6 linked regions of the Callithrix jacchus genome follow. The protein of the gene in region 5 interacts with the protein of the main gene of each other region in a biochemical or structural test. Links are inferred from orthologs where the notes say so. Each region holds a gene or a part of one and is shown on either strand. Other genes may lie near its edges. The genes, in order: KBTBD6, STK3, NEDD4, kelch repeat and BTB domain-containing protein 7, MAP1LC3C and SQSTM1.

What was found.
Region 1: the proteins of MAP1LC3C (region 5) and KBTBD6 form a complex in vitro, tested with the Homo sapiens proteins (2 studies listed by BioGRID and IntAct, with this or other methods). The link is inferred for Callithrix jacchus from reciprocal best matches to the Homo sapiens genes MAP1LC3C and KBTBD6.
Region 2: the proteins of MAP1LC3C (region 5) and STK3 form a complex in vitro, tested with the Homo sapiens proteins (2 studies listed by BioGRID and IntAct). The link is inferred for Callithrix jacchus from reciprocal best matches to the Homo sapiens genes MAP1LC3C and STK3.
Region 3: the proteins of MAP1LC3C (region 5) and NEDD4 form a complex in vitro, tested with the Homo sapiens proteins (2 studies listed by BioGRID and IntAct). The link is inferred for Callithrix jacchus from reciprocal best matches to the Homo sapiens genes MAP1LC3C and NEDD4.
Region 4: the proteins of MAP1LC3C (region 5) and kelch repeat and BTB domain-containing protein 7 form a complex in vitro, tested with the Homo sapiens proteins (2 studies listed by BioGRID and IntAct, with this or other methods). The link is inferred for Callithrix jacchus from reciprocal best matches to the Homo sapiens genes MAP1LC3C and KBTBD7.
Region 6: the proteins of MAP1LC3C (region 5) and SQSTM1 form a complex in vitro, tested with the Homo sapiens proteins (6 studies listed by BioGRID and IntAct, with this or other methods). The link is inferred for Callithrix jacchus from reciprocal best matches to the Homo sapiens genes MAP1LC3C and SQSTM1.

The regions. Positions count from the first base shown.
Region 1 is NC_133506.1:160,304,722-160,308,754, reverse strand, and holds the start of KBTBD6 (kelch repeat and BTB domain-containing protein 6), read left to right. Parts: upstream 1-1,233; 5' UTR 1,234-1,543; coding exon 1,544-3,583; 3' UTR 3,584-4,033. UniProt on the Homo sapiens protein: As part of the CUL3(KBTBD6/7) E3 ubiquitin ligase complex functions as a substrate adapter for the RAC1 guanine exchange factor (GEF) TIAM1, mediating its 'Lys-48' ubiquitination and proteasomal degradation.
Region 2 is NC_133517.1:98,134,868-98,138,367, forward strand, and holds part of STK3 (serine/threonine-protein kinase 3), read left to right. Parts: coding exon 1-77; intron 78-584; coding exon 585-752; intron 753-3,500. UniProt on the Homo sapiens protein: Stress-activated, pro-apoptotic kinase which, following caspase-cleavage, enters the nucleus and induces chromatin condensation followed by internucleosomal DNA fragmentation.
Region 3 is NC_133509.1:43,694,673-43,698,807, reverse strand, and holds the start of NEDD4 (E3 ubiquitin-protein ligase NEDD4), read left to right. Parts: upstream 1-1,335; 5' UTR 1,336-1,646; coding exon 1,647-3,194; intron 3,195-4,135. UniProt on the Homo sapiens protein: E3 ubiquitin-protein ligase which accepts ubiquitin from an E2 ubiquitin-conjugating enzyme in the form of a thioester and then directly transfers the ubiquitin to targeted substrates. Specifically ubiquitinates 'Lys-63' in target proteins.
Region 4 is NC_133506.1:160,346,431-160,350,629, reverse strand, and holds the start of kelch repeat and BTB domain-containing protein 7, read left to right. Parts: upstream 1-1,399; 5' UTR 1,400-1,698; coding exon 1,699-3,804; 3' UTR 3,805-4,199. UniProt on the Homo sapiens protein: As part of the CUL3(KBTBD6/7) E3 ubiquitin ligase complex functions as a substrate adapter for the RAC1 guanine exchange factor (GEF) TIAM1, mediating its 'Lys-48' ubiquitination and proteasomal degradation.
Region 5 is NC_133520.1:43,983,740-43,988,025, forward strand, and holds the start of MAP1LC3C (microtubule-associated protein 1 light chain 3 gamma), read left to right. Parts: upstream 1-1,486; 5' UTR 1,487-1,585; coding exon 1,586-1,643; intron 1,644-1,744; coding exon 1,745-1,800; intron 1,801-1,955; coding exon 1,956-2,062; intron 2,063-3,910; coding exon 3,911-4,109; 3' UTR 4,110-4,286.
Region 6 is NC_133503.1:71,810,860-71,813,302, reverse strand, and holds part of SQSTM1 (sequestosome-1), read left to right. Parts: intron 1-718; exon of another isoform or gene 719-841; intron 842-1,780; exon of another isoform or gene 1,781-1,900; coding exon 1,901-2,112; intron 2,113-2,428; coding exon 2,429-2,443. UniProt on the Homo sapiens protein: Molecular adapter required for selective macroautophagy (aggrephagy) by acting as a bridge between polyubiquitinated proteins and autophagosomes.

The sequences.
Region 1 (4,033 bases), on a different chromosome or scaffold from region 5:
GGTGGGCAGTGATGTGAGAGGAAGACAGTGGCAGGGTTTCACAGGAAGTGGGTCGGAAGTGGAAACGTGTTTGGTGTTCTCAGTGACTTTTAACATCTGAACTGCATGGGGTGTGTAAAGGTTGAGGGAATGACTCAAAATGAAGCCCGCTCTGATGGAACAGCAACTTCATACAAGCAAGGGGAGAAATGCTTGCACCACTGGGTCTCAAAGGATGCTAAGTTACTCACCAGGCCTCTGGCTTCCATTGTATTTTAGAGTGAGGACTCTCTAAAATATGTCTTTTCTTTTGGGTAAAAAGGGGAAAGGGGAAACTGAATATTGGAGAGTGGGAGAAGACGCTGGAGAGGACTTCAGGTTTTGAAATGCAGATATGGAAGGAAAGTCTCAAAGTCAGGTGATTGGAGGTGATTTCCTTTTAGTCATGGCAAGTAAGGACAGGCAATGGTGGAAAAGCCAGGGATCTAATTCAGCAGCAACAGCCAACCAATCCTACAAACTGAGTTATCTTTTGGTATCAGGGAGAGGCACAGCATGTACAAAAAAAAAAAAAATCACTTCTAACGGATGCATACACTAATACAAAATGTTAATAATAAGGGAATTGCGAAGGGGGAAGAGATATAGGAAGCTCCCGGTCCCTTCTGCTCAATTTTTCTGTAAACGTAAGATTCAAACCTACTAATTAAAACACACACACACACCCCTAAAAGGGATTCTCTGCTGCAAGGTTTTCTGATTTTGGGGGTTGTTTTTTGTTTTCCTACAGGCTCATAATTTCAAATTAGTGGTGCTTCATTTTTTTTTAAATAAATGCTGGAAGAAAAGTTAAAACTTATAGAACCTTTACAACCTAAGAAGCGAATAATTATTCTACAAACCAACAAATATTAAGAGCGTCCTATAACCAACTCATTTAATCTTCACACAATCCTATGAAATACTCCTGTTCACATTTCACAAAAGAAGAAGAAACAGTTCAGAGACAAGTCAAACAATATATACTAGAACGAGGCGACTACTTTGGATACCAAAACCACATTTCCGAACCACAAAATCCAACCTAGGAAAATTGGCGCTCTCGAGTGTCGTCATTAAAATAAGGAACACAGAGAAGGATCGCGATATTACACGAACTACTACTCCCAACATGCAAAGCGGTCTCTTTCAGTCTCGGCCCGGGGGTCCGAGAGCCCCAGTAGCCCTTGGGGCGCAAAAGGCATCGTGGGAGCTGTAGTTCTCCTGGGCGCCTAGTGTTGTCGCCCACGCGGTGGCAGCGGCGTCTGAGGCTCCCAGCCAGCGGGTCCTGTGAACGCGAGCAGAGGCGGAGAAGGGACGCGGGTGTGAGAGCGGGTGAGTCAGCCACTGTCTAAACGATAAAGGGAGGCGGCTCCTTGGGGTTGGGCTGAATTCAGTAAATGGGCTCGTGCTCCGGCTTCTTCGGACACGCTGCTGCCTTAGCGTCAGCGAGGGAAGGGTGAGGAGGAGCCAGAGCCGGGTCCTGCAGCCGTTCTCGCCTTCAGCGCCCGTCGCCATCTCCATCATGCAGTCCCGGGAGGACGCCCCGCGCTCTCGCCGCCTCGCCAGTCCCCGCGGTGGGAAGCGGCCCAAGAAGATTCACATACCCACAGTTTCGGCCTTTTTCACGGGCCCAGAGGAATTAAAGGACACGGCCCATTCTGCAGCCCTCCTGGCCCAGCTCAAGTCCTTCTACGACGCGCGGCTGCTGTGCGATGTGACCATCGAGGTGGTAACGCCCGGCAGCGGGCCCGGCACGGGTCGCCTGTTCCCCTGCAACCGCAACGTGCTGGCAGCTGCGTGTCCCTACTTCAAGAGCATGTTCACAGGTGGCATGTACGAGAGCCAGCAGGCCAGCGTGACCATGCACGACGTGGACGCCGAGTCCTTCGAGGTGCTGGTGGACTATTGCTACACGGGTCGTGTGTCGCTCAGTGAGGCCAACGTGGAGCGCCTGTACGCGGCCTCGGACATGCTGCAGCTGGAGTACGTGCGGGAAGCCTGTGCCTCCTTCTTAGCCCGACGCCTGGAGCTCACCAACTGCACCGCCATCCTCAAGTTTGCAGACGCCTTTGACCATCGCAAGCTGCGATCTCAGGCCCAGTCCTATATAGCTCACAACTTCAAGCAGCTCAGCCACATGGGTTCGATTCGGGAGGAGACTCTAGCAGATCTGACCCTGGCCCAGCTGCTGGCTGTTCTGCGCCTGGATAGTCTGGACGTGGAGAGTGAGCGGACAGTGTGCCACGTAGCAGTGCAGTGGCTGGAGGCTGCTCCCAAAGAGCGGGGTCCCAGTGCTGCAGAAGTCTTCAAGTGCGTGCGCTGGACGCACTTCACTGAGGAAGATCAGGACTACTTAGAAGGGCTGCTGAGCAAGCCCTTAGTGAAGAAGTACTGCCTGGGCGTTGTTGAAGGGGCCCTGCAGATGCGCTATGGCGACCTGCTGTACAAGTCTCTGGTGCCAGTGCCAAACAGCAGCAGCAGCGGCGGCAGCAGCAGCAGCAGCAGCAGCAACTCTGTTGTACCTGCAGCAGAAAATCCACCTCAGAGGCTGGGTATGTGTGCCAAGGAGATGCTGATCTTCTTTGGACACCCCAGAGATCCCTTTCTTTGCTGTGATCCGTACTCTGGGGACCTTTACAAAGTGCCCTCACCTTTGACCTGTCTTGCTCACACTAGGACTGTCACTACCTTAGCTGTCTGTATCTCTCCAGAGCACGACATCTACCTAGCTGCCCAGCCCAGGACAGACCTCTGGGTGTATAAACCAGGTCAGAATAGTTGGCACCAACTTGCAGATCGCATGCTGTGTCGTGAGGGCATGGATGTGGCATACCTCAATGGCTACATTTACATTTTGGGGGGGCGAGACCCTATTACTGGAGTTAAATTGAAGGAAGTAGAATGCTACAATGTTAAGAGAAACCAGTGGGCGTTGGTGGCTCCACTGCCCCATTCTTTTTTATCCTTTGACCTGTTGGTAATTCGGGACTATCTCTATGCTCTCAACAGTAAGCGCATGTTCTGTTATGATCCTAGCCACAACATGTGGCTGAAGTGCGTTTCTCTGAAGCGCAATGACTTTCAGGAAGCGTGTGTCTTCAATGAGGAGATCTATTGTATCTGTGACATCCCAGTCATGAAGGTCTACAACCCAGTTAGGGCAGAATGGAGGCAAATGAATAATATTCCCTTGGTGTCAGAGACCAATAACTACCGGATTATCAAGCATGGCCAAAAATTGTTGCTCGTCACCTCTCGCACCCCACAGTGGAAAAAGAACCGGGTGACTGTGTATGAATATGATATTAGGGGAGACCAATGGATTAATATAGGTACCACATTAGGCCTCTTGCAGTTTGATTCCAACTTTTTTTGCCTCTCTGCTCGTGTTTATCCTTCCTGCCTTGAACCTGGTCAGAGTTTCCTCACTGAAGAAGAAGAAATACCAAGTGAATCTAGCACTGAATGGGACTTAGGTGGATTCAGTGAGCCAGAGTCTGAGTCAGGAAGTTCAAGTTCTATTTCTGATGATGATTTTTGGGTGCGTGTGGCACCTCAGTGAAATGCACAGGATCAGCAGGGTTTGTTGTAACTGAATTCAAACACTAAGTTGTTTTTGCTGTTTTGGAATATATCTTAAATATCCTTTTTGTTCCCAAAGGGGAGGAAAAGTTGATTAACTGGTTTGGTTTAGAAAAAGTAATGTTTGAAATATGAAGGTAATTTAATATTACAAATTTTAACACTCAAAGCAACCTTTTAATAATTTTTTGTGCTAAGAATCCAGTATTTATTTATTTAGTATGTTTATGTTTCATAAAACTAATTTAGTCTTTTGATAAATTTTACATTTTGTTTATTGCCACAAGCACCGTGGCAGTAACTTTTTAATTTTAATTTTTATAACAGAAAAAGGATTAGGAATTGCTAGGCAGTGTTTTGAAAGCATATCTTTTTCTTCAGAACAATGTAGATTTCCAAAATGGTTAACCTAAGGGGTCTTTATAAAATA
Region 2 (3,500 bases), on a different chromosome or scaffold from region 5:
TAAAAGCTGGAAATATTCTCCTCAATACAGAAGGACATGCAAAATTGGCAGATTTTGGAGTGGCTGGACAGCTAACAGTAAGTTAAATTTAATAATTTTCTAAACACTTGGCTAATTTGTTCAGCTTTGATTGTAACTAAACTTTGATAACTTTTTGAGGGGGAATGGAAAGAAATGTGTAACTTTTTTGTTTTTGTGGAGAAGGAACCCTAATCGAGCCAAATTCGAGTATTATTTAATTTATAATTTAGGATAATTGAATATGAAAATTTGTAATCAAAATGCTTTACTGTTCTAAAAGGGAAGCTAGTCAGCTCATTTGTGTAGCTTTCAGCATTATAGTATCTTTAAGGATTGTATTTAAGTGATGGTAGTAGAGATAAGTTACCTGTGGATTCTTGGTTGTTTTCAGAATTCAGAATTCCTAAGTATGTCATAACTGGTTGAAATTTTAGCAAAATATAGTCAATTTCTGATACAATATGTGGCATTGGAGGTTTTGACTTTTTCTTAAAGAATGTTTGGCATACAGATTTCCTTTGTGTTTTTGTAGTAGCATTTATGGCTACGTAACATTATTGCAGGATACGATGGCCAAACGCAATACTGTAATAGGAACTCCATTTTGGATGGCTCCTGAGGTGATTCAAGAAATAGGCTATAACTGTGTTGCTGACATCTGGTCCCTCGGCATTACTTCTATAGAAATGGCTGAAGGAAAACCTCCTTATGCTGATATACATCCAATGAGGGTAAGAAAATTATGATTTGCTAAAAATGTTAGCCTTATATAAGTGTTGCAGTTTTGTAATGTCAGTGTAAGTAAATATAAACTAAATACGTTTATTTAAATTTGTTCTTTTTAAAAATGCTAAAATTATCTCTTAAAGATTAGTAACTGATAATTTCTCTTCCTTCTGCATTCTAAATTGTGGGAAAAGAAGTGAAGGCTCTGTATATGTCTACAGTCACTGTTCTACCCCCAAAAATATACCTGTAAAGTTTTTGCTTGCTTTTCAGTAGAAGAAAGGGTTGGTAAATCCTCTTTGCTCTTCAGTTTATTGCTTCTCGATGTGATAGTGGAAGAGTTTGAAGTAATCTGTTCTTACCCACTCCGTAATGTATACCTGTCTCTCTCTCTCTCTATCTCTCTCTCTCTCTCTCTCTCTCTCTCTCTCTCTCTCTCTCTCTCTCTCAGTGTGTGTGTGTGTGTGTGTGTGTGTGTGTGTGTGTGTGTGTGGTTTTTTTTTTCTACCCTTTCTCTTTGGTCTGAGGATGATATTAAGCAATCCTAATTTCTAATATTGCTATGCACCTGTAAAGGAATTAGGCTTTTTTTTTTTTAATGAATCCTTATTCAGAAAATGGAATTCCTTTGTTGAACATCATTATATGTTTCTGTGATCGCTGCAGGAAAATTTTTGAGTTTGAAATATATATCTTACATATTCAAGTCCAATTGCCTATGTTTCAAGATTTGTGATGATATACTTTTTAGGTTTATTACTCTGTGAATCATATAGATAAGTTCATCATCATAGATAAGTACATTTATCTTTGTATACTTATTGCCCTCTAGTGGCTGCAGTTACCTCAATAAGGATATAGAAATGAAGGGAAGAGTGTATGTATGTGTAGAAAAGAGAAGATAGTGTCATGGTGGCTGGAGGAATTTGAAGTAAGTAGGAAGAAGAAGAATGCATTATTTTAGGCTATCTGAAGATGAATAAATTGGAATCACATCTGATATTATAATGCTATTGTGGGTTAAATTTTGATAATATAGGTAATAGTGTATTATATGGAAAACATTTAAAAATCTGTCTGTTGTATTGAAACATTTTTATTTTTTTATTTTATTTATTTTTATTTTTTTGCCAATCAGTTTGAGCTTATGAGGTTGCTCAGGTTAGCCTTGAACTGATGACCTCGCCTTCGCGAGCATTTTTAAAGAGAGTTTTTGTTTTCTCATTCTTTTGAGACAGGGTCTTACTCTGTCACCCTGCCTGTAGTGCAGTAGTGCGATCATGGCTCACTCTAGCCTCAACTTCCTGGGCTCAGGTGATCTTCCCACCTCAGCCTGCAGAGTAGCTGGGGATATAGGTATGCACTATCATGCCCAACTAATTTTCTGTTAGTAGAGACAAGTTGTCGCTACATTGCCCAGGCTATTTTCTGTTAGTAGAGACAAGTTGTCGCTACATTGCCCAGGCTAGTCTCCAACTCCTGGGCTCAAGCGATCCTCCCACTGTGGCTTCCCAAAGTGCTGGGATTACAGGAGTGTGCCCAGCATAGAATTCTTTGAGTAATATAATCGTATACAATATGTACCATCTTCCTTGTGTATGTAAATTCCTTTTGGTAAATGAAAGATAAAAATAGCATCAATTGTTTTAAAATAAAATGAAAAATAACAAGGTCAGCAAGAACAAAAACAGGAACACAGAGTCTTACTTCTTCTCTGATCATTAGTTATCTGTGGTTATTTTAGTTAGGATGTTTGTAGAGTGATCCTCAAAGTAGACAAGTTTGTGTTTCAGTCCGTGAGGGTTACTAAATTACCCAAGGCAACTTAGGTAGGTTCCAGAGCTGGGATTTAACCTAGGACTTCCATTATTACCATTCTGCTTCTTCCCTGTGTAAATCTTATTTTTCTATCCAAATAGTTCAATATGTTAAATTTGACCCTGTGCTACTTTCTCTAGCAGAGAGGAGAGAATTGTAATATGTGACCCCTTCCTTTAAGGATCTGATAATATTACCTGAGAGTTTGAATGAATACATAATACATTGTTAAAAATATACCTGATGATAGTGTTTCTCTTAGGAAAAAAAATATATATATATTGCAAATTTCCTCGGATGCCTTGCTTACTGTTTTTTTTTTTTTCAAACCAGTCTAAATCCTACCATTTTTTAAAGTCTCAACTCAGATTTTATTTCTGGATAGACCCATTCTTGACAGCTGTCGCCCAAGTAAATTTCTCTTTTTCCTCATAATTTGTATATAGGCAATTTTTGACAGTCCAGTTCTTTGGATAGTTAATCAAGTGTTGCCTTGTACATTTCCAAACATAATATAGTTTATCTCCTATTTGAATGATGGCATTATTTAACTTTTTTTGTGTTTGTGAGCTGCCTCACAAATTAGAGTATTGAACTGCAAGTATTGGGGGTTGTTAAGATCATGTAACAGATACAGTTCTATCATGGGCAACAAATACTGCCTTTTATTTGTCTTGAAATGACGGGTTCACTTGGTTCATTTTTGAGAAAATGTCTGTCAAATACCCATCTGTGTAACCTTAGTTTTCTGTCAGTTATTCTTCAAGTAAAATCGGTGTTCTTGAAAAGAGCCTTGTAGTTTATTTAGCTTGCAGCTCAGTCATGCAACTACTTTTTTTCAGATTATTATTGTTCTTTGGTATGTGGGGAAGTGCATTATGCATATTTTCCATTTTGTCATGTAGAATACTACAAAATATATATTCACGTGTGGA
Region 3 (4,135 bases), on a different chromosome or scaffold from region 5:
ATTTTACCTTTTACTTTCCTATGAATGAGCCAGTATATATTTATTACTGGAGTTCCAGCTATAAAATTTATGTAAGGGGTTTAAATATACCCTAGAGTATTATTTAAAAATAAATTTATTTCTTTCAAATAGAATACCAACCTTGGTCTATGACATTTGGGAGAGAAATTAAAATATTAAACTTTTATTGCCTAGTAAACTGAAAATAAAGTAAAGGTTAAATAAATACAAAGCAAAAAATATATATATACAAAATCACAACCTCTAAAAGGACAAACAGTCCACTGTTCTCTACTGTGGGAGCTTTATCAGCACTGGTGAGTAATTCCACCTCTAGGGCAGGGCAAGTTCTCAAAAACGTAAACAAGTATGTACTTTGTTTATATAAAGAAATGTGCAGCATGGTTTGTATTTCTTTGTAGATATCAAACAGCTAAATGCATTGTTTCAGAGCACCAGCAGGGGCCAGCAAAGAGCTCTTAGAGTTTTTCAGAACAGAATTGGCATTGAGATATGTTTATTTGATGTGTTAAATCCTTTTTTTGACTTCTTTACTTAACTCCACACTCTCTTAAGTGAATGAATTGCAGAGACAGTGGAATAAAATATCCTGTGTGTTCAAACTATCTTGGGGTATAGTTTTTTTTTCTAATCTGCATATATTTTTAATGAAGTATTTGCTTAGGCTATTTCTTGGCAGAGTTTTAATAGTCAAAATATAAATGGCATTATTTAAAGACTGTTCTACTTGGCTGGAAAAGGCCTTAAAATTACAGAAGAAAATGCTTAGTGACAGCTTCTCTTAACCTTTTCTTTCTTGAACCTGTGCTTCATTTTTGCAGTAGTATTACTAGGCTAATTTTGTAGTTCTGTTCTTAATCTTTCACTTTTTATATAACTAGCACTTTGGAAGCTAAAATGTCTATCTGTTTGATGTAGTGCTAAAGTTTTAGTTCATCCCAAAGTTTTAGTATTTCCAAATTTACACAACTGTTTGAATTCACTCATTAAAAATAAAATTAACAGCCCCTATAACTTGACTAGATTCCTAGTATGGTTACTGTTTGGAAATTCAATCTTTGATTTGATGCTTAATTACATGGGGTTCCGTTCCTACCAACTTCCTGTAATTCTATACCTATGGGTAAAAATATTAGTGGTCAAAGTCAGCTGGAGAAAGTATAGGCACTGCGATTCACATAGTTATATGTTCATTTAGTAGAGCTAGGGTGAAAAAATACTGCTTCAACTTGAAATGTTAGAAGATTGTTGTTCTTGTGTTACTCATTCATGCAAATTGGAGAAGGTATAATTGAAACAAGGTTGGCTGTGTTTGAGTCAGTGTGCTGCAGCTGAGCTCAGCTTAAAGGTCGCTGGAAATCAAGTGCTTTGTAAGTGAAGGCATTTTGACTACAAGCAATTCAAGACATTTTGGAAACGTCAGTCTCAGGAATGGGCCGTCTTTTTCTTTCTATGATATCTGGTATCTAATGTTTTACTTAGGATAAAGACCACTACTTAATAGCTCTTTTAGGCACCATAAATGATTTTTTTCTTTTGATGCAGTGCAGCTGCTTCTAGCCTGTCTACAGACAGAGATATTTGTTATGACTTTCAGCCTTTAACATGTTTGGAAATGAGAACAAATGGCACAGAGCTTACGATTGCACTTTGCAGCCAGAAGAAGCAATACTTACCCTTTGTCAGAAGCCTCCGGAGATGACTTGGATAGCCGTGTTCACATGTGCTTCAAAAGACCAACACGGATTTCAGCGTCTAACATTGTTCAAATGAAGCTGACTCCCAGACAGACTGCACTAGCTCCGTTAATAAAGGGAAACATTCAGTCTCAAGAAAGATCATCTGTTCCTTCATCTGAAAATGTTATTAAAAAGAGCAGCTGTCTGCAGATTTCACTACAGCCCACAAGGTACAGTGGTTGTCTTCAGTCTAGCAATGTCTTAGCTGATAGTGATGATGCTTCATTTACTTGTATCTTAAAGGATGGTGTTTACAGCAGTGTTGTGGCTGATAATGAATTGACTGCTGTGAATGATGGTAACCTTTTAAGCAGTCCTGCCATTTGTAGTGGTAGCCTTAGTAACTTTTCAGCTAGTGACAATGGGTCTTGCAGCAGCAATGGTAGTGATTTTGGGTCATGTACAAGTATCACAAGTGGAGGTTCATACACTAACAGTGTCATCAGTGACAGTAGTAGTTATACTTTTCCACCAAGTGATGATACGTTTTTGGGTGGAAATTTATCTTCTGACAGCACCTCCAATAGAAGTGTGCCAAACAGGAATACTACTCCATGTGAAATTTTTTCAAGAAATACAAGTACAGATCCTTTTGTCCAGGATGACTTGGAACATGGATTAGAGATTATGAAATTGCCAGTGAGCGGGAACACAAAAATTCCTCTAAAACGTTGCTCCTCCTTAGTCATTTTTCCTAGGAGTCCTTCAAATACCCCACCAACTTCTCCAACAAGTCCATGTACTCTTCTGAGCAAAGGATCCTATCAAACTTCACACCAGTTTATTATTTCTCCTAATGAAATTGCACATAATGAGGATGGCACTGGTGCTAAAGGATTTCTTTCAACAGCTGTCAATGGACTTCGGTTATCTAAAACAGTTTATACCCCCGGAGAAGTAAGAGACATAAGGCCACTTCACAGGAAGGGCTTGTTACAAAAGAAAATTGTTATTTCAAATAGTACTCCCAAACAGACTGCCTGTGAAAAGTCATCTGAAGGATACTCTTGTGTTTCAGTGCATTTCACCCAACAAAAAGCAACTACATTAGATGGTGGAACAACAAATGGCGATTGTAAACCAGAAATGTCAGAAATTAAGCTTAATTCTGATTCCGAGTATATTAAGCTCATGCATAAGACATCTGCATGTTTGCCATCCTCCCAAAACATTGATTATCAAATAAATATCAGTGGAGAATTGGAAAGACCAGATTCACAGATGAACAAAAATCATGGTATTTTACAAAGAAGTATTTCATTGGGAGGAGCTTATCCAAATATTTCCTGTCTATCCAGCCTTAAGCACAATTGTTCTAAAGGGGGACCATCTCAGTTACTCATAAAGTTTGCATCTGGAAATGAAGGTAAAGTTGATAATTTATCAAGAGACAGCAACAGAGATTGCACAAATGAACTGTCTAATTCTTGTAAGGTAAGTTTCCTTTGGTCTTGGTAAATGTTAATTTATATGAGAATAACTTAATGAAATATTTAGATAAAATTTATTACAATTAAGCAATTTAATATATTTTCCCAGTCCTTAGCTAGCATATACTTTGTAGTCATGAATTTTATATTTGTAAATCTGAAGAACCCTATGTGTAGTTTTTTACTCTGTTATTTTACCAATGTACAAAATGTGTATTTTTAAAAATCTTCCTAAGTGATTTAAGCTGTAAAACTTTTCTGTAACATAAAAACAAACTTTGAATAACAATCTATTTTACATTTTATCTTAATATATTTTTTCTTTAAATGGTATAGTATTCTGTTATATAGCTCAGTATTTTATTCCTATCTTCAAAATGATCATTTTGTTTTCTCCCCTTCTTAATCATTATGAAATAGAGTAAAATTTTAAATGCTTATTTAAAATATTAAACAAAAACCCGTATCAAAGTGCAAAGATCTTGTTTTAAATGGTTATAGAGGAACTATATCTCTAAAATACATGTATTTCTAAGATCATTCATAAAAACTATTATGCTGCATGTTTAAAGCAGAGGAAAAATAAATGGCATTTGCGTTTGTATATACCCTTAACCACAGGAATTTTGTTTCCACCCTATTTTTTCTTTAGCCACGAGTTAATACTGCCTTCTAAAATGTAACTCACTCTTTCAACAATATTGAATTCTAAGTTTTAGTCTTTTTGAATTTTGTTTAAATTGCTAGGCAGTTCCCATAATTTTCTATTTACCTTTTTATTTGTTTTTTTGACAATTCGTCTTTATTTTATTAGTAATTTAACCCTTATGAATCTTTGCCAAGAGTTCTTTATGTAATTTGGCCTTTCCAAAATATTTAAAATTGTTTGAACTGAAATAGACTTTTAAAATTTCTGTATATGGAATGTTTTACCAGATTCCAGGA
Region 4 (4,199 bases), on a different chromosome or scaffold from region 5:
GCATCGGCCTATGTTCCCGGCCTCCAGGCCCTATTTTCCTGCCTCAAATCTCTAATACTTGGTTTTGATGATTTAGCTGTTGATCAACGCATATATTAAATAGTTTTGTAAAGCATAGACTATACTGTGTATTAATTCAAGGAACGTCAGGGCATGTATGAATGCTGAAGTCTGAGAATCATGTGCTTTTGTACAGAACAAAGTCTGTTGAAATGTTTTGAGTTAAAATTCTCCCTAAAACTTCTCTACGAAAGCAATTGCAGAGTCTGTTAACTGATTTGTAGAATGGCAGTGAAAGAGGCTGTATTTGGCCGGGCGCGGTGGCTCACGCCTGTAATCCCAGCACTTTGGGAGGCCGAGGTGGGTGGATCACGAGGTCAAGATATTGAGACCATCCTGGTCAACATGGTGAAACCCCGTCTCTACTAAAGATACAAAAACTTAGGCCGGCATGGTGGTGCATGCCTGTAATCCCAGCTACTCAGGAGGCTGAGGCAGGAGAATTGCCTGAACCCAGGAGGCGGAGGTTGCGGTGAGCCGAGATCGTGCCATTGCACTCCAGCCTGGGTAACAAGAGCTAAACTCCATCTCAAAAAAAAAAAGAAAGAGGCTGTATTATTCAATTTGAACACACTTACATTTGCAGCTTAATGAAAATACTCTTGCTCTGCAGAGATGAAATGTTAGTGAGAGCAGCAAATCATCTATTTGTATATGCTCAATTTGCATATTTGAGGCCATCTATTAATACTGCTCTTTAGGACCTCAACCTAACCATCTAAGACATTCTTGTTAAATGAGACCAATATACATCATTTAATATTGAAAATATTAATACTCTTCAGAACCTCTCAAAAAATAAAAATTAAAAATTGGAAGCTTTGTAACGTTTTGCAGTTTTAAAAAAAATACTTGGTTTCAAATTAGCGGGTGCCTCATTTATCATAAATTATAAAAGAGAATCTAACAATTATTGATTACATTCTAGGCACGGGGTAGTGATTTATTAATTATTCTTCTAATAAAAAAATACACATATTTAAGCATCCTATGTAACATATCATTCAACCCCACAAAACCCTGTAAAATATTGGCAGGGCGCAGTGGCTCACGCCTGTAATCCCAGCACTTTGAGAGGCCGAAGGAGGAGGATCATTTGAGCCCCCAGTAGTTCGAGACCAGCCTGGCAACAATAGTGAGACCTCGTTCTTCACCATCAAATCCCGGAGTATTAATTTCTACTTCTGTTAGAGCAGGCAACGAAAGGAAAGCTCGCGATATTTCACAAACTACTACTCCCAACATGCAAAGCGGTTTCCTTCCTCGGTCTTGGCCCGGCTGTCCGAGAGCCCCAGCAGGCCTCGGGGCGCGAAAGGCAACCCGGGAACCGTAGTTCTCCAGGGCGCCTAGCGGGATCGCCAGCGCGGCAGTGGGGCTTCCGCGGCTCCCAGCCAGCGGGTCCTGTGAACGCGAGCAGAGGCGGAGAAAGGGCGCGGAAGTGAGAGAGGGTGAGTCAGCCACTGTCTACGCGATAAAGGGAGGCCTCACCGCGGGGTAGGCAGAATTCAGGAGTCAGGTCCGTGCCGCAGTCTGTTCCAGGAAGCGGCTTGTGTTAGCGTCAGCGAGGGAAGGGTGAGGAGGAGCCAGAGCCGGGTCCTGCAGCCGTTCTCGCCTTCAGCGCCCGTCGCCATCTCCATCATGCAGTCCCGGGAGGACGCCCCGCGCTCTCGCCGCCTCGCCAGTCCCCGCGGTGGGAGGCGGCCCAAGAGGATTTCCAAGCCCTCGGTTTCGGCCTTTTTCACGGGCCCAGAGGAATTAAAGGACACGGCCCATTCTGCAGCCCTCCTGGCCCAGCTCAAGTCCTTCTACGACGCGCGGCTGCTGTGCGATGTGACCATCGAGGTGGTAACGCCCGGCAGCGGGCCCGGCACGGGTCGCCTCTTTTCCTGCAACCGCAACGTGCTGGCAGCTGCGTGTCCCTACTTCAAGAGCATGTTCACAGGTGGCATGTACGAGAGCCAGCAGGCCAGCGTGACCATGCACGACGTGGACGCCGAGTCCTTCGAGGTGCTGGTGGACTATTGCTACACGGGTCGTGTGTCGCTCAGTGAGGCCAACGTGCAGCGCCTGTACGCGGCCTCGGACATGCTGCAGCTGGAGTACGTGCGGGAAGCCTGTGCCTCCTTCTTAGCCCGACGCCTGGACCTGACCAACTGCACCGCCATCCTCAAGTTTGCAGACGCCTTTGACCATCACAAGCTGAGGTCTCAGGCCCAGTCCTATATAGCTCACAACTTCAAGCAGCTCAGCCGAATGGGTTCGATTCGGGAGGAGACTCTAGCAGATCTGACCCTGGCCCAGCTGCTGGCTGTTCTGCGCCTGGATAGTCTGGACGTGGAGAGTGAGCGGACAGTGTGCCACGTAGCAGTGCAGTGGCTGGAGGCTGCTCCTAAAGAGCGGGGTCCCAGTGCTGCAGAAGTCTTCAAGTGCGTGCGCTGGACGCACTTCACTGAGGAAGATCAGGACTACTTAGAAGGGCTGCTGAGCAAGTCCTTAGTGAGGAAGTACTGCCTGGGCGTTGTTGAAGGGGCCCTGCAGATGCGCTATGGCGACCTGCTGTACAAGTCTCTGGTGCCAGTGCCAAACAGCAGCAGCAGCAGCGGCAGCAGCGGCAGCAGCAGCAGCAGCAGTGGCAGCAGCAGCAGCAACAGCAGCAACAACAACTCTGTTGTACCTGCAGCAGAAAATCCACCTCAGAGGCTGGGTATGTGTGCCAAGGAGATGGTGATCTTCTTTGGACACCCCAGAGATCCGTTTCTCTGCTATGACCCTTACTCGGGGGACATTTACACAATGCCGTCACCTTTAACCAGCTTTGCTCACACTAAGACTATCACCTCCTCAGCTGTCTGTGTCTCCCCAGATCATGACATCTACCTAGCTGCCCAGCCCAGGAAAGACCTCTGGGTGTATAAACCAGCTCAGAATAGTTGGCAGCAACTTGCAGATCGCTTGCTGTGTCGCGAGGGCATGGATGTGGCATACCTCAATGGCTACATCTACATTTTGGGGGGACGAGACCCTATTACTGGAGTTAAATTGAAGGAAGTGGAATGCTACAGTGTTCAGAGAAACCAGTGGGCATTGGTGGCTCCTGTCCCTCATTCCTTCTATTCTTTTGAACTCATAGTGGTTCAGAACTATCTTTATGCTGTCAACAGTAAGCGCATGCTCTGCTATGATCCTAGCCACAATATGTGGCTAAACTGTGCTTCTCTTAAACGCAGTGACTTTCAGGAAGCGTGTGTCTTCAATGATGAAATCTATTGTATCTGTGACATCCCAGTCATGAAGGTCTACAACCCAGCTAGGGGAGAATGGAGGCGGATTAGTAATATTCCTTTGGATTCAGAAACTCACAACTACCAGATTGTCAATCATGAGCAAAAGTTGCTGCTCATCACTTCTACAACCCCACAATGGAAAAAGAACCGAGTGACAGTGTATGAGTATGATACTAGGGAAGATCAGTGGATTAATATAGGTACCATGTTAGGCCTTTTGCAGTTTGACTCTGGCTTTATTTGCCTTTGTGCTCGAGTTTATCCTTCCTGCCTCGAACCTGGTCAGAGTTTCATTACTGAGGAAGATGATGCACGGAGTGAGTCTAGTACTGAATGGGACTTAGATGGATTCAGTGAACTGGACTCTGAGTCAGGAAGTTCAAGTTCTTTTTCAGATGATGAAGTCTGGGTGCAGGTAGCACCTCAGCGAAATGCACAGGATCAGCAGGGCTCTTTGTAAATAGTATTTTGAGACACTAAGATGTTTCTACTGCTATGGAATGTATGTTAAAAAGATATCCTCTCTTTTTCTTGGGAAAAAAAGGTTGATTACGACCACAGATTTGGTTTAGAAAGGGTAACATTTTGAAATACTACAGGGTTTAAACAGTCCCTGAAACCAACCCGTTTAATAATTTACTGTGCTGAAAGTCCAAAATTAAAATATGCAAACAAGAACTATATAATTGGTTGGGATGCTTGGTAGGCTTTTTCCTGGTTCAGGTATTCATCCCACAGTGGACTGTTTTGATTAGTGGGCTTATTTTTTTTTTAATTCAGTCTTCTGTTAATTTTTAAGTTTTCTTTAGTGCCACAAAGAATTTATCTTTTAAATCTGTATAATAGAAAACTGGA
Region 5 (4,286 bases):
ACCGATGGCTGGCAGTCCCTGGATAGCTTCTGGATGGGGGCTGGTCACCAGAAAGACAAAGGTGAGATTAGAGGGTTGGAATTTTTAGCCCCACCTCCAGCCTCTGGGGAGGGTAGAGGGGTTGGAGGTTAAATTGATTATCAGTGGCCAACGGTTTAATCAATCTTGCGGATGTACTAAAACCTCTATAAAAACCCAAAAGGCCTAGGGTTCTGATTTTTGTTATGAGAATATAGGAGAAATGGCATTTGTTCCCTCTATGTATGACTAGAGGCCCATTTTCTTAACTCTAAAAGGGAGATCTTGGGGGCAGTTGTTCTTCCTTCCTTCTTTTATCCCAGAGAAAACTAAATGACAAAATATACCTACCAGAGTGTTGTACTTGGACTTCCTTGTGACAACTCTGGGTTTGTTCGGGTTTTTGCTTGTTCGTTTGTTTGAGATGGAGTTCCATTCTTGTTGCCCAGGCTGAAGTGCAATGGTTGGACCTAAGCTCACTGCAACCTCCACCTCCTGGGTTCAAGTGATTCTCCTGCCTCAGCCTCCCAACTAGCTGGGATTATAGGCTCCTGCCACCACACCTGGATAATTTTTGTATTTTTAGTAGAGACGGGGTTTCAGCATGTTGGCCAGGCTGGTCTCAAACTCCTGACCTCAGGTGATCTACACACCTTGGCCTCCCAAGTGCTGGGATTACAGGCATGAGGCACTGCGCCTGGCCGACAACTATGGGTTTTAATCCAAACTGCATCTGTGTAGCTGTGTGCCCTCGGCCAAATCGTTTCACCTTTTTTTTTTTTTTTTTTTTTTTTTGAGGCAAGTCTTACGCTGTTGCCCAAGCTAGAATGCAGTGGTGCAATCTTGACTAATCACAACCTCCACCTCCCAGGTTCAGGCGATTCTCCTGCCTCAGCCTCCCAAGTAGCTGGGATGACAGGTGCTCACCACCATGCCCAGCTAATTTTTGTATTTTTAGTAGAGACAGAGTTTCACTATGTTGGCCAGACTGGTCTCGAACTCCTGACCTCCTGATCTGCCTGCCTCAGCCTCCCAAAGTGCTGGGATTACAGGTGTGAGCCACTGCGCCCGGCCTCACTTCACCTTTCTTAGTATAGGTTTCCTTCTGTGAAAAGGGCACGGACTGTGGTGAGAATTACACAGCACACTTCAGGCTGAGGTGGATCCATCTTGGACTCCTCTCAAGGTGGTTCTCTACTGAAGTACAGAAACGTCGCCAGCATAAGGCAGTTTTACGTCTCCACGGTCCGCTGCCTAGCCAATGATTTTATTACAAACCCTAATTTCTTTTGCAAAGAAACATCTTGAACTGGTCATGAATAAAGTGGCTTTTCTCTGACCAGCAAGTAGGTGGCGATTCCATTTCCACCAGAACTGACCTCGTGCTGCTCGGGGAGGGGGAGGCGGGTGAGCAGAGGCCTGATGTCACTCAGCTCTACATAAGGGCCCCCTGCAGGCTCCTGCAGGCAGTTTGGAAGCAGCTGGAGGAATGAATTAGGTTCCTGGTTGCAGTACTTTTGTTCTTCTTTTCTTTTCTTTCTTAAAACAGACAAAGCTGTTGAGTGAAATGCCGCCTCCACAGAAAATCCCAAGCGTCAGACCTTTCAAGCAGAGGAAAAGCTTGGGTAAATTTCTTGGGGTACCTTTCTGGGTTACTCGAAAGAGAGGAGAGGATCTGGCTTTCTCTTGATGTTTGCTTATTCTCTTGTGCTTGAAATATTCACAGCAATCAGACAAGAGGAAGTTGCTGGAATCTGGGCAAAGTTCCCAAACAAGATCCCGGTAAGACATCATTGTACTTCCCTTGTGGGGGGCGGGGTTCTGAACCTGTCCTTTGAAAAAACCAAGACCAGCCAACAACTTCCCTCTCTCTGTTCCAAGATCCTAAGACTCAGAGAACTCTGAGTCACATTCTTAAGGACTGACGCTCTTGACAGGTGATAGTGGAGCGCTACCCCAGGGAGAAGTTCCTGCCCCGGCTGGACAAAACCAAGTTCCTGGTCCCGCAGGAGCTGACCATGACCCAGTCCCTCAGCATCATCCGGTAGGTGGCGCAGAGCGTGCCCGGGAGGAAGGTGTCGGGGGTGTGTGGGGGCTCTTCTGTTTCCTTCGTTAGGTGGTTTTATTTTGGGGATGGGGGTATGTCAGGGAAAGAGAGGAAAGAGATTTTTTTGAAGTCATCTTTCAGATTCACTAGTGCCCTGAAAAGATGCTCTTAGAATAATTCTATTTTAAATCCGGGTGCACCGACTCATGCCTGTAATCCCAGCACTTTGGGAGGCTGAGGTTACGAATTCGAAAACAGCCCAGCCAACATGGTGAAACCCTGACTCTACTAGAAATACAAAAATTAGCTGGGTGTGGGGGTGCACGCCTGTAATGCCAGCTGCTCAAGAGGCTGAGGCAGGAGAATCGCTTGAACCTGGGAGGCAGAGGTTGCAGTGAGCTGAGATTGCACCGTTGCACTCCAGCCTGGGCAACAAGAGTAAAACTCCATCTCAAAAAAAAAAAGAAAGAAAGAAAAAATTACTCTATTTTATTTTACACAAAGATGGCTGTATAATTGTCAGTGACCAAACCTTTGGGGTTATTTGGGGAGGAGTTATCTGGGTGTAAAATGAATTGGATTCTAGTTACTCCCATCTCCCACTGCTGCATGGACATAGCCCACCTGAAGGCTCAAAGCTCTAAGATAGGAATGGGTGGGCTGTGCCCGCTTCACCAATTAGAGCACCTGGAGGAAGTGTGCTTAAAGTGAGGCCAAGCCTTCACCTAGGCACCTACGTTTTCACACTGCCATCTGCTCCGGGATAACTGGGCACTCAGATTGCCCTTGGCATTTGAAGCGTGTTCAACTAAATATGGCTGCCTTCCTATCGCCTTGATGTGAACGCAGAAATAACACAGGAAGGAAAGGGCACACTTCAAGGCAGGAGATCCCTTCCAAGTGTCATCCTAGGCTGTTCAACAGTGACATGCCAGGCCGGGCGCAGTGTCTCGAGCCTGTAATCCCAGCACTTTGGGAGGCCAAGGCAGGTGAATCACCTGACATCAGGAGTTCAAGACCAGTCTGGCCAACATGGTGAAACTCCGTATCTTCTAAAAATGCAAAAACTAGCTGAATGTGGTGGCACACGGCTGTAATCCCACCTACTTGGGAGGATAAGACAGGAGAATCGCTTCAACCTGGGTGGTGGAGGTTACAGTGAGCTGAGATCACACCATGGCACTCCAGCATGGGCAACAGAGTGAGTGAAATTCCATCTCAAAAAAAAAGTGAGATGCCAGAGAGACTATGTATCACTTTTGTACCCCTGGGGAAACAGCTTTAATTTCATAGCAAACAGAAGTTATTTACTTAACTTTTTTTTTTTTTTTTTTTTTTGAGATGGCGTCTGGCTCTGCCACCCAGGCTGGAGTGCAGTGGTGTGATCTCCGCTCACTGCAACTTCTGCCTCCTGGGTTCAGACAATTCTCTGCCTCAGCCTCCCAAGTAGCTTACAGGTGCCCACCACCACGCCCGGCTAACTTTTGTATTTTTAGTAGAGACGGGGTTTCACCGTCTTGGCGAAGCTGGACTTGAACTCCTGACCTTGTGATTCCCCCGCCTCAGCCTCCCAAAGTGCTGGGATGACAGGCCTGAGCCACGGCGCCTGTCCAGCGCGCTTAGCAGGTTTGTGTCGTCATCTTTCCCTGCTGTGTTTCCTCGTCGTGTTTTGGCATATTTCATCCATGGAATGACCTCACCCTTTTGACCCAACTACGACTCCTTGTAGTTTCTAAATCTCAGGGAAGAAGGAGGGAGCAATTCCCTCTTCTTGAGCGTCATGATGCTGCAGATCCCTGGGCTGCCTCACAGGTCACCCCCTCACCACCCTCCTGCCCACCCCAGGAGCCGCATGGTCCTGAGAGACACAGAAGCCTTTTACTTGCTGGTGAACAACAAGAACCTGGTCAGCATGAGTGCAACCATGGCAGAGATCTACAGGGACTACAAGGATGAGGACGGCTTCGTGTACAAGACCTACGCCTCCCAGGAGACGTTTGGCTGCCTGGAGTCATCAGCCCCCCTGGGATGGGAGCAGCCTTGAGGACAGACCCTGCAATCCTCTCTAGCCCATGTGGGGAAGAACAGGTGCTCTGACAGACGTATCAGCCGCTGGCAGAAGGGATTGGATTTCTCCTGTATGTATATGGAGGAGTCTGAGAAGCAGGGATGCTGGGAGTGATCAGGTCCAGCTATTGGCAGCAGAGTGGTGGCTCTTCCT
Region 6 (2,443 bases), on a different chromosome or scaffold from region 5:
CCACATGAAGAGAGAAACCCAGAATGAAGAACAGAGGTATTAGGAAACGAAGGACCTAATAGGACACAGGGTGAAAGTAAAGGTGGTCACAGCATCACAACAGAGCCTCTGCCCAGAGAGCTGCCAGTCCTGGCTGGAATAGGAGGCTGCACACCAAGGGGCATTCTCTAAGGAAAACACCAGAACCAGTGGGGCCTCTGATCCACTTCACCCCTGTAGAAAACTATGGAGATGCTGTGGGAGAACATGGGGAGAGTTAGCAAATGAAAAGAGAAGGCAGGCTGGGCGCAATGGCTCATGCCTGTAGTCCAAGTACTTTGGGAGGCCAAGATGGGCAGATTACCTGAGGTCAGGAGTTCAACACCAGCCTGGCCAACATGGTGAAACCCCATCTCTGCTAAAAATATAAAACTTAGCTGGGTGTCGTGGCGGGCACCTGTAATCTCAGCTACATAGGACGCTGAGGCAGGAGAATTGCTTGAACCTGGTAGGTGGAGGTTGCATTGAGCCGAGATTGTGCCACTGCATTTCAGCCCAGGCAACAGAGCGAGACTTCATCTCAAAGAAGGCCAGGTGTGGTGGCTCATGCTGTAATCCCAGCACTTTGGGAGGCCAAGGCAGGCGGATCACAAGATCAGGAAATCAAGACCATCCTGGCTAACATGGTGAAACCCCATCCCTACTAAAAATACGAAAAATTAGCCGCATGTGGTGGCACATGCCTGTAGTCCCAGGTACTCAGGAGGCCGAGGCAGGAGAATTGCTTAAATCCAGGAGGCAGAGGCTGCAGTGGTTGAGTTCGTGCCATTGCACTCCAGCCTGGGCAACAGAGTGAGACTGTCTAAAAAAAAAGAGAGAAGGCATCATTAGTGATAAGAAAACAAAAAGCTATACAAGGAAATAGTCTGCTAATTGACCCAGCAAATAACATTAAGACAGAGGTACTAACTGAAACACTGAACGTTGTTTTAACAAAAAATTGAGTCTTAGAAAGGGTAGTGGAAGGGGAGGCAGATACTGGTCTAGAGTAAGAAGTGCATAGATGTGAACTCTATCAGTAGGCAAGAGTAGCATGAGCTGAAAGAGCCCAGGGAGGCTTTGGGGAGTGGAATGGGAGCAGGGAATATGCATCACAGCCTCTGGCAACTGGTGACTCTAAGCTGTGGGTATGGAGACTTTTGACACATGTAATTTTAAAAATATTGTGATTCCTCCCTCTGTCCCTGGTGAGTTATGTGAGCCTGGAGGTGTGCAGGCTCCCTGTGCTGCCAACCTTGGGCCCTACGCCTTGACTGCATGGCCTGTCCACCTCTCTGAGCAGAGCCCTAGCGTTTAGGTGCGTGTACGTGTCATCACACAAAGCCTCTGTGTGCAAGTATCATGAGACACACAGCCTTCCATCACTGGCTGGAGGTGCCTGCCACATGTAGCATTGGCTCCCCCTGTACTTAGGGCCTGGCCCTACCTGCAGTGTAGCCCATGTCCTGCATGGTTAGGAAAAATAAGGTCTCTTTGGACTTCCTAGCTCTGAAGCTGACCTTAGATGTTAGCTGAGGTTCATGTTTTAGTGGATTGGAGAAAGAGAAAGGTCCAGTATCATAGGCACACAGAGTTTCCAGAAGCCACAAGAGATTTGGAGCTGGGATACTGGGAAGAGCCTCTGACTCAAGGGTTTGTATCTTGGCTGGTCCCATACTGGCTATGTGACTCTAGGGTCAAGCTCAATAGGAGAACCTAGCACCTGTATCCACATGCTGAGTGCCACCATCCAGACCTTTACCTGTTGTGGGGACTGAATGTGAGATCTTTGTGAGTCTGCAGTCCCCACATGCCAAGCTCCTGCCTGCAGGTGCATCCTTCGGGGAACTTCACAGTTTTTTCTTTCCTCCTTGGCCTCTAGGCATTGAAGTTGATATTGATGTGGAGCATGGAGGGAAAAGAAGCCGCCTGACCCCTGTTTCTCCAGAGTGTTTCAGCACAGAGAAGAGCAGCTTGCAGTCAAGCAGCTGCTGCTCTGAGCCCAGCAAGCCCCGTGGGAACGTTGAGGGCGCCACGCAGTCTCTGGCGGAGCAGATGAGAAAGATTGCCTTGGAGTCCGAGGGGCACCCTGAGGCAAGCTTGTGCCCCTCCCGCCACCTGGGACTGTGGCCAGCCTAGTGATTTGTGGCCTGCACCTCTGCCTCATCCTCAGCACCTATGCAGCCCCACTTATAAAATCCAAGGGAGCTGCTGCTGTTCCTGTAGTGATGTCTGTGGCATTAAAGTCCTTTGGGAACCTGCTAGAATTTTGTAGTTACTTGGTCTTTGAGAGTGACTCACTATTCCCTGTAGCCCCCTGCAGCTTTAAACACATGCCAGGAGTTGGTGTCATGTCAGGCTTGGCCTGTAGGGAATGTCTCCTGTGTGCTCATGGTGCGTTTTGTTCCAGGAACAGATGGAATCT